Nothobranchius furzeri: one gene and its partners. The main gene of each other region encodes a partner of the protein of the gene in region 3 in a complex. Links are inferred from orthologs where the notes say so. Each region holds a gene or a part of one and is shown on either strand. Other genes may lie near its edges.

Evidence for each region.
Region 1: the proteins of wdr59 (region 3) and sec13 are in contact, whole or in part, in a cryo-EM structure (PDB 7UHY), measured with the Homo sapiens proteins. The link is inferred for Nothobranchius furzeri from reciprocal best matches to the Homo sapiens genes WDR59 and SEC13. Residues at the interface, in NP_085058.3 of Homo sapiens: Ala525, Tyr526, Gly527, Asp531, Ala532, Asn533, Ile534, Pro535, Phe536, Pro537, Arg538, Thr539, Ser540, Gly541, Ala542, Arg543, Phe544, Cys545, Gly546, Ala547, Tyr549, Val551, Phe553, Thr554, Arg555, Met557, Ala644, Gly645, Lys646, Val647; in NP_899195.1 of Homo sapiens: Val4, Ile5, Asn6, Thr7, Val8, Asp9, Thr10, His12, Asp14, Met15, Ile16, His17, Asp18, Ala19, Gln20, Met21, Asp22, Tyr23, Tyr24, Gly25, Leu28, Val42, Pro59, Trp61, Gln62, His67, Pro68, Tyr79, Ser105, Asn107.
Region 2: the proteins of wdr59 (region 3) and mios are in contact, whole or in part, in a cryo-EM structure (PDB 7UHY), measured with the Homo sapiens proteins. The link is inferred for Nothobranchius furzeri from reciprocal best matches to the Homo sapiens genes WDR59 and MIOS. Residues at the interface, in NP_085058.3 of Homo sapiens: Tyr871, Arg876, Glu877, Arg879, Ala880, Glu881, Leu883, Lys884, Pro889, Pro890, His893, Lys894, Gly895, Ile896, Glu897, Phe898, Gly899, Val900, Tyr901, Arg906, Glu908, Val909, Arg910, Thr912, Phe922, Gln923, Ala925, Ile926, Cys927, His928; in NP_001357005.1 of Homo sapiens: Asp705, Trp710, His711, Arg713, Ala714, Ile718, Ser721, Lys728, Pro729, Leu730, Ala731, Gln732, Val733, Phe734, Val735, Ser736, Cys737, Asn738, Phe739, Ile744, Lys780, Pro781, Leu782, Pro783, Leu787, Cys788, Leu789, Gly793, Pro795, Gln819.

What each region holds. Positions count from the first base shown.
Region 1 is NC_091743.1:73,558,742-73,562,828, forward strand, and holds the start of sec13 (protein SEC13 homolog), read right to left. Parts: upstream 2,885-4,087; 5' UTR 2,755-2,884; coding exon 2,752-2,754; intron 2,561-2,751; coding exon 2,516-2,560; intron 1,850-2,515; coding exon 1,734-1,849; intron 1,570-1,733; coding exon 1,418-1,569; intron 735-1,417; coding exon 601-734; intron 454-600; coding exon 320-453; intron 207-319; coding exon 86-206; intron 1-85. UniProt on the Homo sapiens protein: Functions as a component of the nuclear pore complex (NPC) and the COPII coat. At the endoplasmic reticulum, SEC13 is involved in the biogenesis of COPII-coated vesicles.
Region 2 is NC_091745.1:63,844,562-63,848,150, reverse strand, and holds part of mios (GATOR2 complex protein MIOS), read right to left. Parts: intron 2,268-3,589; coding exon 2,098-2,267; intron 1,679-2,097; coding exon 1,613-1,678; intron 1,496-1,612; coding exon 1,337-1,495; intron 504-1,336; coding exon 351-503; intron 1-350. UniProt on the Homo sapiens protein: As a component of the GATOR2 complex, functions as an activator of the amino acid-sensing branch of the mTORC1 signaling pathway. The GATOR2 complex indirectly activates mTORC1 through the inhibition of the GATOR1 subcomplex.
Region 3 is NC_091749.1:66,253,760-66,257,384, forward strand, and holds the end of wdr59 (GATOR2 complex protein WDR59), read right to left. Parts: coding exon 3,588-3,625; intron 3,478-3,587; coding exon 3,339-3,477; intron 2,973-3,338; coding exon 2,891-2,972; intron 2,811-2,890; coding exon 2,690-2,810; intron 2,323-2,689; coding exon 2,180-2,322; intron 2,083-2,179; coding exon 1,847-2,082; 3' UTR 1,846-1,846; exon of another isoform or gene 1,840-1,845; intron 870-1,839; 3' UTR 543-869; downstream 1-542. UniProt on the Homo sapiens protein: As a component of the GATOR2 complex, functions as an activator of the amino acid-sensing branch of the mTORC1 signaling pathway. The GATOR2 complex indirectly activates mTORC1 through the inhibition of the GATOR1 subcomplex.

The DNA of each region.
Region 1 (4,087 bases), on a different chromosome or scaffold from region 3:
CACCAGCATTCAGACATCAATTCTGTTTGCTTCACAGCCAGACAGGACACGGGGGGGAAAAAAAAGAAAAAAAAAGAAATCGGACCTGGGAGCAGCTGGCGATGGTGCTGGTGGGAAGACCAATAGAAGGAGCCCAGCCGACGTCTCTGACCCAATCACTGTGCGCCTCCAACTTCTGGTCCTCTTTCCACTGACCGTCTTCCTCTCTGCAGGCAGAACATTATTCAGGCCACAGAATATTAGCTACATCTGACGTTCACTGTTGAAAGTGTTCTTTTTTTTATCCATACAGGATGACAGATTTTCAACAGCAACTTACTTCCAGAGTTTCACCAGGTTGTCACATCCGCCAGAGACGAAGCGTTTGACGTAGTTTGGTTTCTGACCTGATGGCTGATTGATCAGGCTGCCTGGAACTACAGCAGGAGCCCAGCTCACTGCATTACAGCCAATCTGAAGCAAAAAATAAAGCTTTTAATTATTCTAAAGATACACTTCACGCCCCAAAAGACACAGAAACACTAAATTAGAAAAGGTGAGACAGAATAAAGTTTAAAAGATTGGTGACAACTTAGGAAAACCATTTCATTTTTAACTCACGGTGTGTGCGTTGCTGATCTTCTTGACGTCCCACTGCTGATCACCAGTAAATGTGAGGAGGGAAATTGCTCCATCTGAACTGCCACAGGCTAGGATTAGACCAAATTCATACGGACCCCAGCAGACTGAATTCACTGCAAACACAGAGACAGAGTTAAGGACGAGATCAAGTTGTGTGGAAAACTATTCAGTCAAACTGATCTCTCAGCCCCAATATATGAACATGAATTTCTTTGTAATTTCTTAAAAAGGAAGGATCAATTAGAAAGGGAAAAAGAAATGTACTCAAACAAAAGAGAATGTTGTAGAAACAGAACTTAATCTGAATATTTCATTTTTCTAAAGGTGTTGGCAAAAAAAAAGAGAACATATCTGAAACAAGACGTGTACTTTGGTGCATTACACTGACCTGTCGGGCAGAAGAAGAAATAAAATTACAACATTAAGATCAAAACATTTGTTATCTGTAAGAAAAACGGAACTTCTTCCAGCATTACTAGCACCTGAACTTCTTTCAAGAAGGCCACATGGATTAGCAGAATGAGGAGGAGGAGCACATTTAAACCACTAGAGGGATATTCAATTCCGGTCCTGGAGGGCCGGTATCCAGCACATTTTAGTAGTTTCTCTGCTCTAACACACCTGATTCAATGGTTGAATCACCTGTGCAGCAGCTCATCTGGCTCTGCAGAAGCCTGTTAATCACCTGCTGATTGAAATCAGGTGTGTTGAAACAGTTAAAACTAAAACATAATGGATACTGGCCCTCCAGGCTTGGAAATGAACACCCCGGCACTAGAATAATGGAGAACTCTACCTGATGACTCGTGTCCAGTGTACTCATACATCTTGTCCCAGGTGCCGTTCTCCTCCTTCCAGATGACGACTTTGCGGTCGTATGAACAGGATGCTAGAATGTTGCCGAACATTGGATGAGCCCACGCCACCTGCCACACAGGGCCCTCGTGGCTACATGATGCAGGACACACACACACACAAATAAATAAATAAAAATACATTACAGAACAGGTGAAGATTAAATCTTTAGGAAATAAATGGAAGTGTATTGACATTCACTTGACAACTCTACTTACGTAAATTTCTGTGCATATTCCAAAGCTTAGATCTCTTACCCTCTGAGGTCTGCCACCAGGATCTGTCCACCATTGCGGACGTCAAAGATCTTAACGGTGCGGTCAGAAGAACACGTGGCGAGTCGAGTCCCGTAATAGTCCATTTGGGCATCATGCTGAAACAGACAACAAAGCAACACCAGGAATGTTGGTGGGGATTTCTATGGGGCAGCAAAAGCACCAAACAATGGAAGCATGACACCTGGTTTATTCATAAATGAACTGATGGTGCTAAACTGAAACCCATTCCTTAAATCTTTCACCATCACATAACAAATGTGCGGCATAAACTGCATCATTTGAATGTTTGTTTTGGTTTTGATTTCCTTAAATTGAAACATTGAGAACATGATTAATCTTATCTTTTTAGGGAGAATGTGAATACGTGAATGATTTCGGCTAGATTTTCCCTACAACTAAAACGAAAATGCAAAACACGCCGATTAAGTGAAGTTTAAAGACTATTTAACAAATTTTCACAGTCAACACTACAGAATAATCCACATAGCACTGTTTCTGTAATTATTACACTATAGCATCTGGTACAGTTAAGACAAACATTTTGACTGAACGATCTAAAAGCACTAAACTAATTAAAACAATGTGCTACTCCTTTCTCAAAACACACATCCCAACAGTATTACATATTTAAATTAAAAACTGCTGCTTTACACAGAACACTTACACTTGTGGTACTGAATGAAGATAAAAGCTACAGCCGCTAACTGTTAGCTTTTAGCATCAGAGATAAAAATAAAACTGGATAAAACATAAACACTTACGATCATATCCTCGTGTGAAGTGTCCACCGTGTTTATAACGGAAACCTGCAATTGACAAACAAATAAGAACAAAATCAAGCAAATATAAAACTATATCCAGACAGATTAGCCTCCTGCCGTTAGCGATCGTGCTAATGGATTGACAGCTACCAAGACTAGCCAGCAAAATGTAAACATAAAATCAACATCCTAGAATATTTTGAGCTGAAACTAAAACAAAAAGTGACGAAATTCACCATGGCTGTGGCTAAACCGTGTAAACAAGAAGCCCCTGTTCTCTATCGACTAACTTCACAAGGTTCACAATTCCGACGTGGCAACAAGTACAGAAGCCGTTTCCTCCACCGAGTCCCACCTCACTTCCTACCGGGTAAAACAAAACGCCAAATGATAGTTCTGCGTGAATTAAAAAAGAAGAATAATAAAAACTTTAAAAACGCTTCATTTAACAAACAAACAAACAAAAAATAATCAAACAATAAAAAGGAAACAGTTTATTTGAGCTAAAAGCTAAAATTATTGATGGAAACTTAAATGTACAAAGACCCTCTATACATAGAATAGAATAGAATAGAATACCTTTATTGTCACCATACAGGTGTAAAGTGAGATACAGAGCATCTCCTACTCAGTGTAAAACAAACATACTTGGGACACACACACACACACACACACACACACACACACACACACACACACACACACACACACACACACACACACACACACACACACACACACACACACACACACACACACGCACACACACACAGTACATTTACACCTGTCTGTAATCATATTATAATTACTAATAAAATAGTAACATGAATTCACGTAAACAAATAGAAAAAGACAGAAAACAGAACACATCGATACATTACATTCCCTTTATCATTTCAATACAACATTAAAACAAAAAAAAAACATTATTTTAAGAGGAACAAGTGCTTCTTTTTCAGGTCTCCTAAATATCAACTGGTAATAATAGTCAATTTTTGAAGATGTCTCTCAGATTGTGATTTTTGGACAGCAAATTATCACGTCGTTACCCCAGATGACCACAAGGTGACGCCATAAACCCACAATAGTCTGACCTGACAGCTGTTTTTATCCTAACCCACCAAGGACCAGGTTCGGCCTTTTACTGAGGTCCTTGCTGCTGCAGATGAGGGCTCAAGCAATTCTGTATGACCCTCGCTACATAGCTGCAATAAACACGTTCGTCTTCCTTAGCGAGGCGCTGATGGGTGTGGATATGAGGCACCAGACCACGGTAACACACACACACACACACACACACACACACACACACACACACACACACACACACACACACACACACACACACACACACACACACACACACACACACACACACACACACACACACACACACACACACACACACACACACACAAATTATTCCATATAAATATGAAATATCAACCTGACTGATCTTTGAATGTTTAATCAGAAGAATATAGTTACTTTTACTTGTTCAGGGACCATAAACACACTTTGTATTACTGTAATTCAGACAGAGTCAGGTATATAGTTTATGAAATTAATTTA
Region 2 (3,589 bases), on a different chromosome or scaffold from region 3:
CTTGATAAAAACTAACTGAGGGTTAACAAACACGGTTGTGAACGTATTAATGTGTAACATGTTAAAGAAAACTCCTGGACGGCTTTGAGTGTTCTGGTTCTGCATCACAAAGAAACCAAAAGCATGTGATTGTTTGTCAAAACACAACAAAGCTGTTTCATGAGGACAGCCATTCGCTAATTAATCTTTAACCTGAATTTGGTAAATATTTTGCGACTAAATCATTTAAAAACACTTGTGACAAATTTTCCCTAAGTCACCGTGTTCAGTTTTCTGTTAAATTAACTAAAAGATAAAATGTTGAAAAGCAAAAAATAAAACAATTCAAAGATGACTTTTATATTTATTACCTGGGCGAGAGGTTTGGAGCTGGGGTCCAGCTTGCCTCTGAGGATGTCAAACTCGGCCCGTTTGTGCCAGAATCTCCACGCGTCCAGCAGGTTGCGGTAGTTTTCGATCCAGCATTGAACTCGCGGGTCTTTCAACACTTCACCCGGGGAACCCTGATAAACGAGACAGGCCAGGTATTTGGAGTAAGTATTTGTAGCCTTGATTAGTCAATGTAAAAAAAGTTAAAACCAATCCAGAGTTTCCCCCATTTCACGAAATTATTTATTTTAGAAACCCGTAAAAGTGATTAGTGACCCTGTACTGTGACCGGCCCTTTCCACCAGGTGCGTAGGCAATGCGTAACGTCCGTGAAACATTGTACGCAGTAGTGATGGGAACTCTGACTCCTCTGGCACCTTAACGGACACACCACTAGAACTCAGCAATTAGCCATCGTTTAAGCGGATAAGTGCATTTCCACTGACCGCAAAGAGTCATTTTGGAAGCGTCTCAGAAGTAGGGGGCGCATTGCTTACACTTACAGAATGCGTCAAACTTCGCCGTTCAGATCGAGCCAGACAGGAAGTCATTCACAAAAGCAGTGTAAAGCATCTGGAAAGAAAAGTTCCTTACGTTGATCACCCCGCACACATCTAGTGGAAAGGCTGGGCGATAATGTAATGCTATTTCTTTTAGCTAAGCGTAACCTCCGTCCTGCAGAGCCCCACGCAATTTGAATTGACTGCTGCTCAGCATTAGCCAATAGCATTTGACATCGACCTACATACACACGTCAATCACAGATCGTGTGCTCATTTACGAAAGGATCAAGGCAGAGTTGGCGACATTTCTTATAGACAAGTCTTTAATAAATAGATGGTAAATGGCCTGTATTTGATATAGCGCCTTCTAAAATCTGAGAAAAAATGTGAGCTTCCTGTTTAGACTGCCTACTATCGGGATTGAGGTCCACAGTTTTGTGTTTTCATTACGACCCCAAGAGTACCTTCAGCGTGCAGAAGCTAGCCGTCTGAACATCTCCAGTTCGGTCCACAAAGCTCTCCATCAGATCCACTCCATCTTTAGTCAGGCCCGTCAGCAGGATGCCCTCCAGGTTTCCCGCCTCCTTCATCTCATTGGTCAATTTGTCAATGTAATGTGGCAGCTGCAGCAAAACAAGCAAAATAAACCCGATTTACGTGAACAGACTCCGACGACGTGCACAGAAAGGTTAGCGGGAGCAACGATGCAGTCCTGCCAGAACATGATCAGCTGCTGTTACCTGCGCATCGCTGAGAAACATACAGGCGAACGCTACTCTGTCCCTCACGGCAACGCTGCTCTCGTACTGAAACAGATGCAGAATTCTTGTTTTAAAAAGACACAACAACTTTAATGATTTTAAACCAACAGGAGCAAAAAATGACTTGTTTTGACCTGAAAAAGGTAAGGAGGATAAATTAAAATAATACCAAACAGAAGCCTGAGTATAACAGAACAGAAAGGGTGTAAAGAACATAAACTAGCACTTAGCTTTGGGCAAAGGTTCCTCTTTACATAACAACTTTTAAGTGTTACGGTGAAATGTGAAACACCTCTTCCTGCACACCTGAGAATTTTCCATATAAAGATCACTGAGGTATAACCCGCCAGTGTCTTACTGTGTGAAGAATAAATAAAGCTTTATATAAAGTCAAAACAAAAGGGCCAGTGTTGTGTTTTCCACCAACTAGCTTTAAAGGTCCACCATCCTGGGATTTTTCTTACCAGCACGCCATCATAGGCTCCAGGCTCACTGGTCAGAAAGGCAAACATGATGCAGAGGTAGGGGTTCTTAAGCTGCAGCCTCAGAGAGCTGCACATCTCCCTCCACAGGGAGGACTTCTCATCGGTGTAGCCGGACAGCGCCATGGCAACCACGTTCAGGTTCAGGTCACCTGTCGGTCAGAGGAAGAGGATGTATTTTCTGTTTCTACTGCAATCAGGTCATAAAGGATTTTATGGTTGTGTCTTCAAAGTAGGTGGAGCTTCATAAAATTATCCTCCAGTTTCATGTAAGGTTTAATACTTTGTTGGGGGTTTTAGTGACTAAATGTTAACAAGAAGCCCAACTACATGTCTCTAAAGCTCAGCAACATAAGGTTGTACAATCTGAAATTTTTATCTTCTGAACAAAGGGGCAGCAGATGATTCTCACGTTTTTGCAAATCTGGGGCTGTGATCAACACACTGTTAAAGCAATACACTTTGGTTTCTCCATCCATCCATCCATCCATCCATCCATCCATCCATCCATCCATCTATGCATCTATCCACCTATGCATCCATTCATTTATGTATCCATCCATCATCTATCCACCCAAGATTTCCTGCCAGCCATTCAATCATGCATCCATTTTCTTTTGCATATCTGGGTTCGGGTCGCGGAGGCAGCAGACTAAGTAGGGAAGCCCAGACTTCCCTCTCCCCAGCCATTCAGCCCAAATGGGAAAACCTCAACATGGAGGCATCCAGGAGGTATCCTAAACAGATGCCCAAGCCACTTCAACTGGCTCTTCTCGATGTGGAGGAGCAGCGGATCTTCTCTGAGCCCCTCCTGGATGACAGAGCTTCTCACCCTATCTCTAAGGCCAGATACCCGGTAGAGAAACCTCATTTTGGCCGTTTGTATCCACATTCTCTTTCTTTCGGCCACTACCCAAAGCTCATGCCAAAGATGAGGGTTGGAACGTGGATCAACCGATAAATCAAGAGCTTCGATTTCCAGCTCAGCTCTCTCTTCACCGATACAACGCCCTCATCACCGTAAATGCAGCACCAATCCGCCTATCCGCCTTTGGTTTCTGTACAACTTAAATATTCAACCTTAAGGTGAGATTTTAGACATCAGTTAAGTGATAGTCGAAGCAAGAACAGGAAGATTCAAATGTATGAAAATATTATATGAGCTGCTTCTTTATTTAGGTTTTGCATTTCAGCAAAATTGAATTAAAAAAAGAACCACTTTTGTTTTTGAGTGAACGTCTTCAGAGCATTCTGGGATTTTCTGTGGGACCCCTAAAGGGGACAGTGCCAGTTGGGTGTTTTCACTTTACAGCAAGAAAGTTAATATTTACTTTTAGAGACAGTCTGGGTGGCTTGAGAAACAGCATAATTGTAGCGCTCCGATCTGATAGCAAACGTTTCCTGTTTCACTCCATTCTGAGGAAGCACTGGTTGAAGTGTTTAGTCACAAATTTAAATATTTTATGCATGTATT
Region 3 (3,625 bases):
CCACCATCGCCCAATTTGCTTTAATTATCGTTTCATTTAATTGTTGTAAAAACATGTCAACCATGATTTTTACTCTGTCCAGAGACCAGAACAGAACCAGTCAGTCCAGTCCGGCTGTGGTGGAATCAGAATGAGCCGAGCAGAACTGAATGTCTGAAACTTGAACATTTGAAAGAAGAGTGGACTAGAACTCCTCCCGAACCAAGTGAGAGTGACGAGGTGTTGCTGAGAGTTCCTGCTGCTGGAGCTTCTGCTGGATTGTCCCCTCCGGTTCTGTTTGGGTTTCCTAGTGACTTGGGTTCACCTCACTCTCGGTTCTGGTGATTTAACGATGGCGGAATTGATTTGTTTGACCATTCAGACCAGTAAACAGTTCTCAGAGGATCTGTTGTCACGACGACTGCATGTGTATGTCTGCGTGTGGAAACTCATTACCAAAGTCCAGACTGATGACCTTTGACCCACCAACCCGGTGTGTCCTCTGTGGACTAAGCTCTGCCCAGAGGTCATGTGGCGTGTATGGATTCATCAGAACTAACAAGTTGTGTAAATCATAATTTATTCAGCTCTCTCACCTGCATACAGTCATCTCACACTCACTGGGTCATGTGACTCCAGTCTATGACATCATCTCCAGGCCTGTGATTGGTCTGAAACGGTGCTGATGCTGTGATGTCAACAGTCTCTTCTTGTGATATTGATAGCAACAAAGCTGTAACAGAAGACATCCTTCTCCTGCGGCGCCGGCTGGACTCTGTGGTGCAGTTCTGGTGACCTTCAGTCAGAATCCCATCAGACCTCAGGACAGGTCTGTCCATCAGGCTGCAGTGTTTACGACGCCTCCATGTTTGTCTGCAGTCATGGAACATCTGCATTAAACACAATCACAAAGGCTTGTTTAAGTATCCCAGTATTAGACATACAAATATATATCGTTCAACATGAAAATAAAAAGAAGTTGTTTTTTTTTGCTTTTTATAATTTTGATTTCCGCTGTTTATTTCGGTTCATTTCTCCTGTTTTCTGCGCTCATTTTGTCTCTACCTTTAAACCAATTAAGTTTAGGTTCTAATTGTTGTTTTTTTATTACACTAAGAGAAAATTCCATCAAATATTTGTTTCCTCTGAAGCGTCAATCTGTTTCTGAACAGATTTGGAGGAAAAATAGCCCCCAGAGCCGCATCGTCCTTCCTCATTTAACAAGTGGAGAAACTGTTAGGGAGTGGAGAAAACTTGAATTTAGCTCTCATGGATCCAGCAGCCACGGTTTTTACTTCTCATCTCAGCGGTGAACCTTTATGGAAGTTTGAACATTAGATGAAGAAGCCCTTTTAAAAAACAACTAAATAAAAGCTGAGAAGAAAAAGCAAAGGGAAAAGAAACTAGTAGAAGGAAACAGATAAATGAATAAGCAAATCAGTGTAGAGTATGTAAAGGAGGAAAGGCTATTTATAAAACATTTATAATGTGAAGCCATAGCGGGATATCTAAAAGCAGCTCTCAGTAACACATGACCTGCAGTTTAGTCTCATGTCTGTTTGCTGTTCTTTAAGGCACTTCATTCTTCTCACTGTACCCCTACATACCCCCAGTACCCATTCATACCCCTGGTGCACCTACATACTCCTCAATATTCCCCAGTACCCCCCCAAATCCATCCCAGTACCCCCATCACTCACAGTGCCCCTCAACACCTCCCAATATCCTCCATCCCTCCCAGTGCCCCTTCATACCCCCCATCCCTCCCAGTGCCCCTTCATACCCCCCATCCCTCCCAGTGCCCCTTCATACCCCCCATCCCTCCCAGTGCCCCTTCATACCCCCGATACCCATTCATACCCTCACATCAGAAGGTGCTCTGCAGCAGGCAGTGGCAGCCACAGCCAGCTGGACACTCTTCCTGCCTCCAGAACCAGTCCATCATGTGGCTGGTGTGTCCTCCGTGACCACAACTCAGACAGAAGTTGGACGATCCTCGGACGGCCACGTGACAGATGGCGCACTGGAAGGTCAAACGCTTGCAGACGGCACACTGAGTCCCACGAGCCTGACTCCGACAGTGACAGCAGTACACACCAAACTCTGCAGAGGCCCCACACACACACACACACACACACACGGTACAGTTCTAACGCATCAGAAAACACACACGGAGGCTTTAGAGTGAGTTGGACCATACCGATGCCTTTGTGGGCTTCTGGGGGGCTGGACGTGAACTTCAGCACATCGGCCCTCTTGTCTCTCAGACCCCAGCGGTATAAAATCTCTCCATAACATTTCTTAAAGTCATCGAACTGCAGCGTGTTGGCCGGGTCCAGCAACCTGCACAAGCAGAGGAAGTGACATCATCCTTCTGGCGTGTTATTTGGTTTTCTATTGGAGCTTACTGAGATGAAAGCAGATCTGAAGAGAAACATCTAGATGTCTCACCAACCCCGGTTTGTTTCTGGCTGAATACATTATAATCTGTCGAGTCTCAGGCAACTCTTGTGAGTTTTAAAAACTGACCCCCATCCATCAACAGCTGACAGGCTCCACACCCAGGTTAACCTCCAGACCTTCTCCCTGCTCCAGCTGTTCCCAAAGCTCCTACAGGCTCACCCCCCTCCCAAGAAGATGCTAAGGATGCTGGGTTAATTCTGAAGGGGGTTTCCATGGAAACCAGACTGATCAGACACAGCTGTTTAACCTCTTGTTCATGTCGTGCAGCTCTCGTTCCCGTTCTCGAGGATCGGTATAACCTTGGTTACCATAGCGATAGTCATCAGGGGAGGATTCACCCCAGGGTGCAGTGTGTTCTGGATCTCGGACTGAAAACAGGAAGAAGTAGAGTCTGACAGGAAACTGAGACATCAGAATGAGTTTTGTGTGTGGCGCCACGGAGTCTCACCTGTGTTCCAGGTGCTGGTTGTGGTGGAGTCCGAGGTGCTGGAGCAGGAACCCGAGGTGACTGAACTGGATGTGTAGCTGGGCTGAGACATCAACACAAACATGGAGTCATGTCCTGTAAAGACCTACAGAGACTGTAGTTCGGCCTGCTAAGTTCTGACTAGGGCTGGACAATCACTCAGTAAACATTTACATCCACCGTCAATGTGGTGCAATAGAAAAAATTGTATCAATAAAAACTTCAATAAGTTTCCTTTTTCCATTATAGCCTATCAGGTGGCTTCATACTAGAATCATTACTTACACACCTAACCAATCAAAACCATAGACTCAACGCACGCTCTGTCACCGGGCAGCAAAGTGACAAAAAAAAGGGACGTTTGAACAAGACTGGATCAGGAATTTTAAAGTGAAAGTCTGTTATGTGGATGATCCAGCAGCTGACTTACGTATCGGGAATGGTGTGATGGGAAGCGTGAGGAATGGTGCCCATATGGGAAGTAGCTGTCAGGTGGAGCCTGAGACCTGAAGACGCTGCACAGCATGGCCAGAGTCTGGACATCACTCATCTGACTATAGTGGTCCAGACTGGGGAGGGGGGGGGGGGGGGGGATCAGTGCGCACGTACACACACACACACACACACAGATCAGGTGTAACTTGGCCGATCTGGGAGCTGCTTTAGTAAACAAACTTACAGAGTCTCCAGCAGGTGGCGTCCAAACGGGTGTCTGGC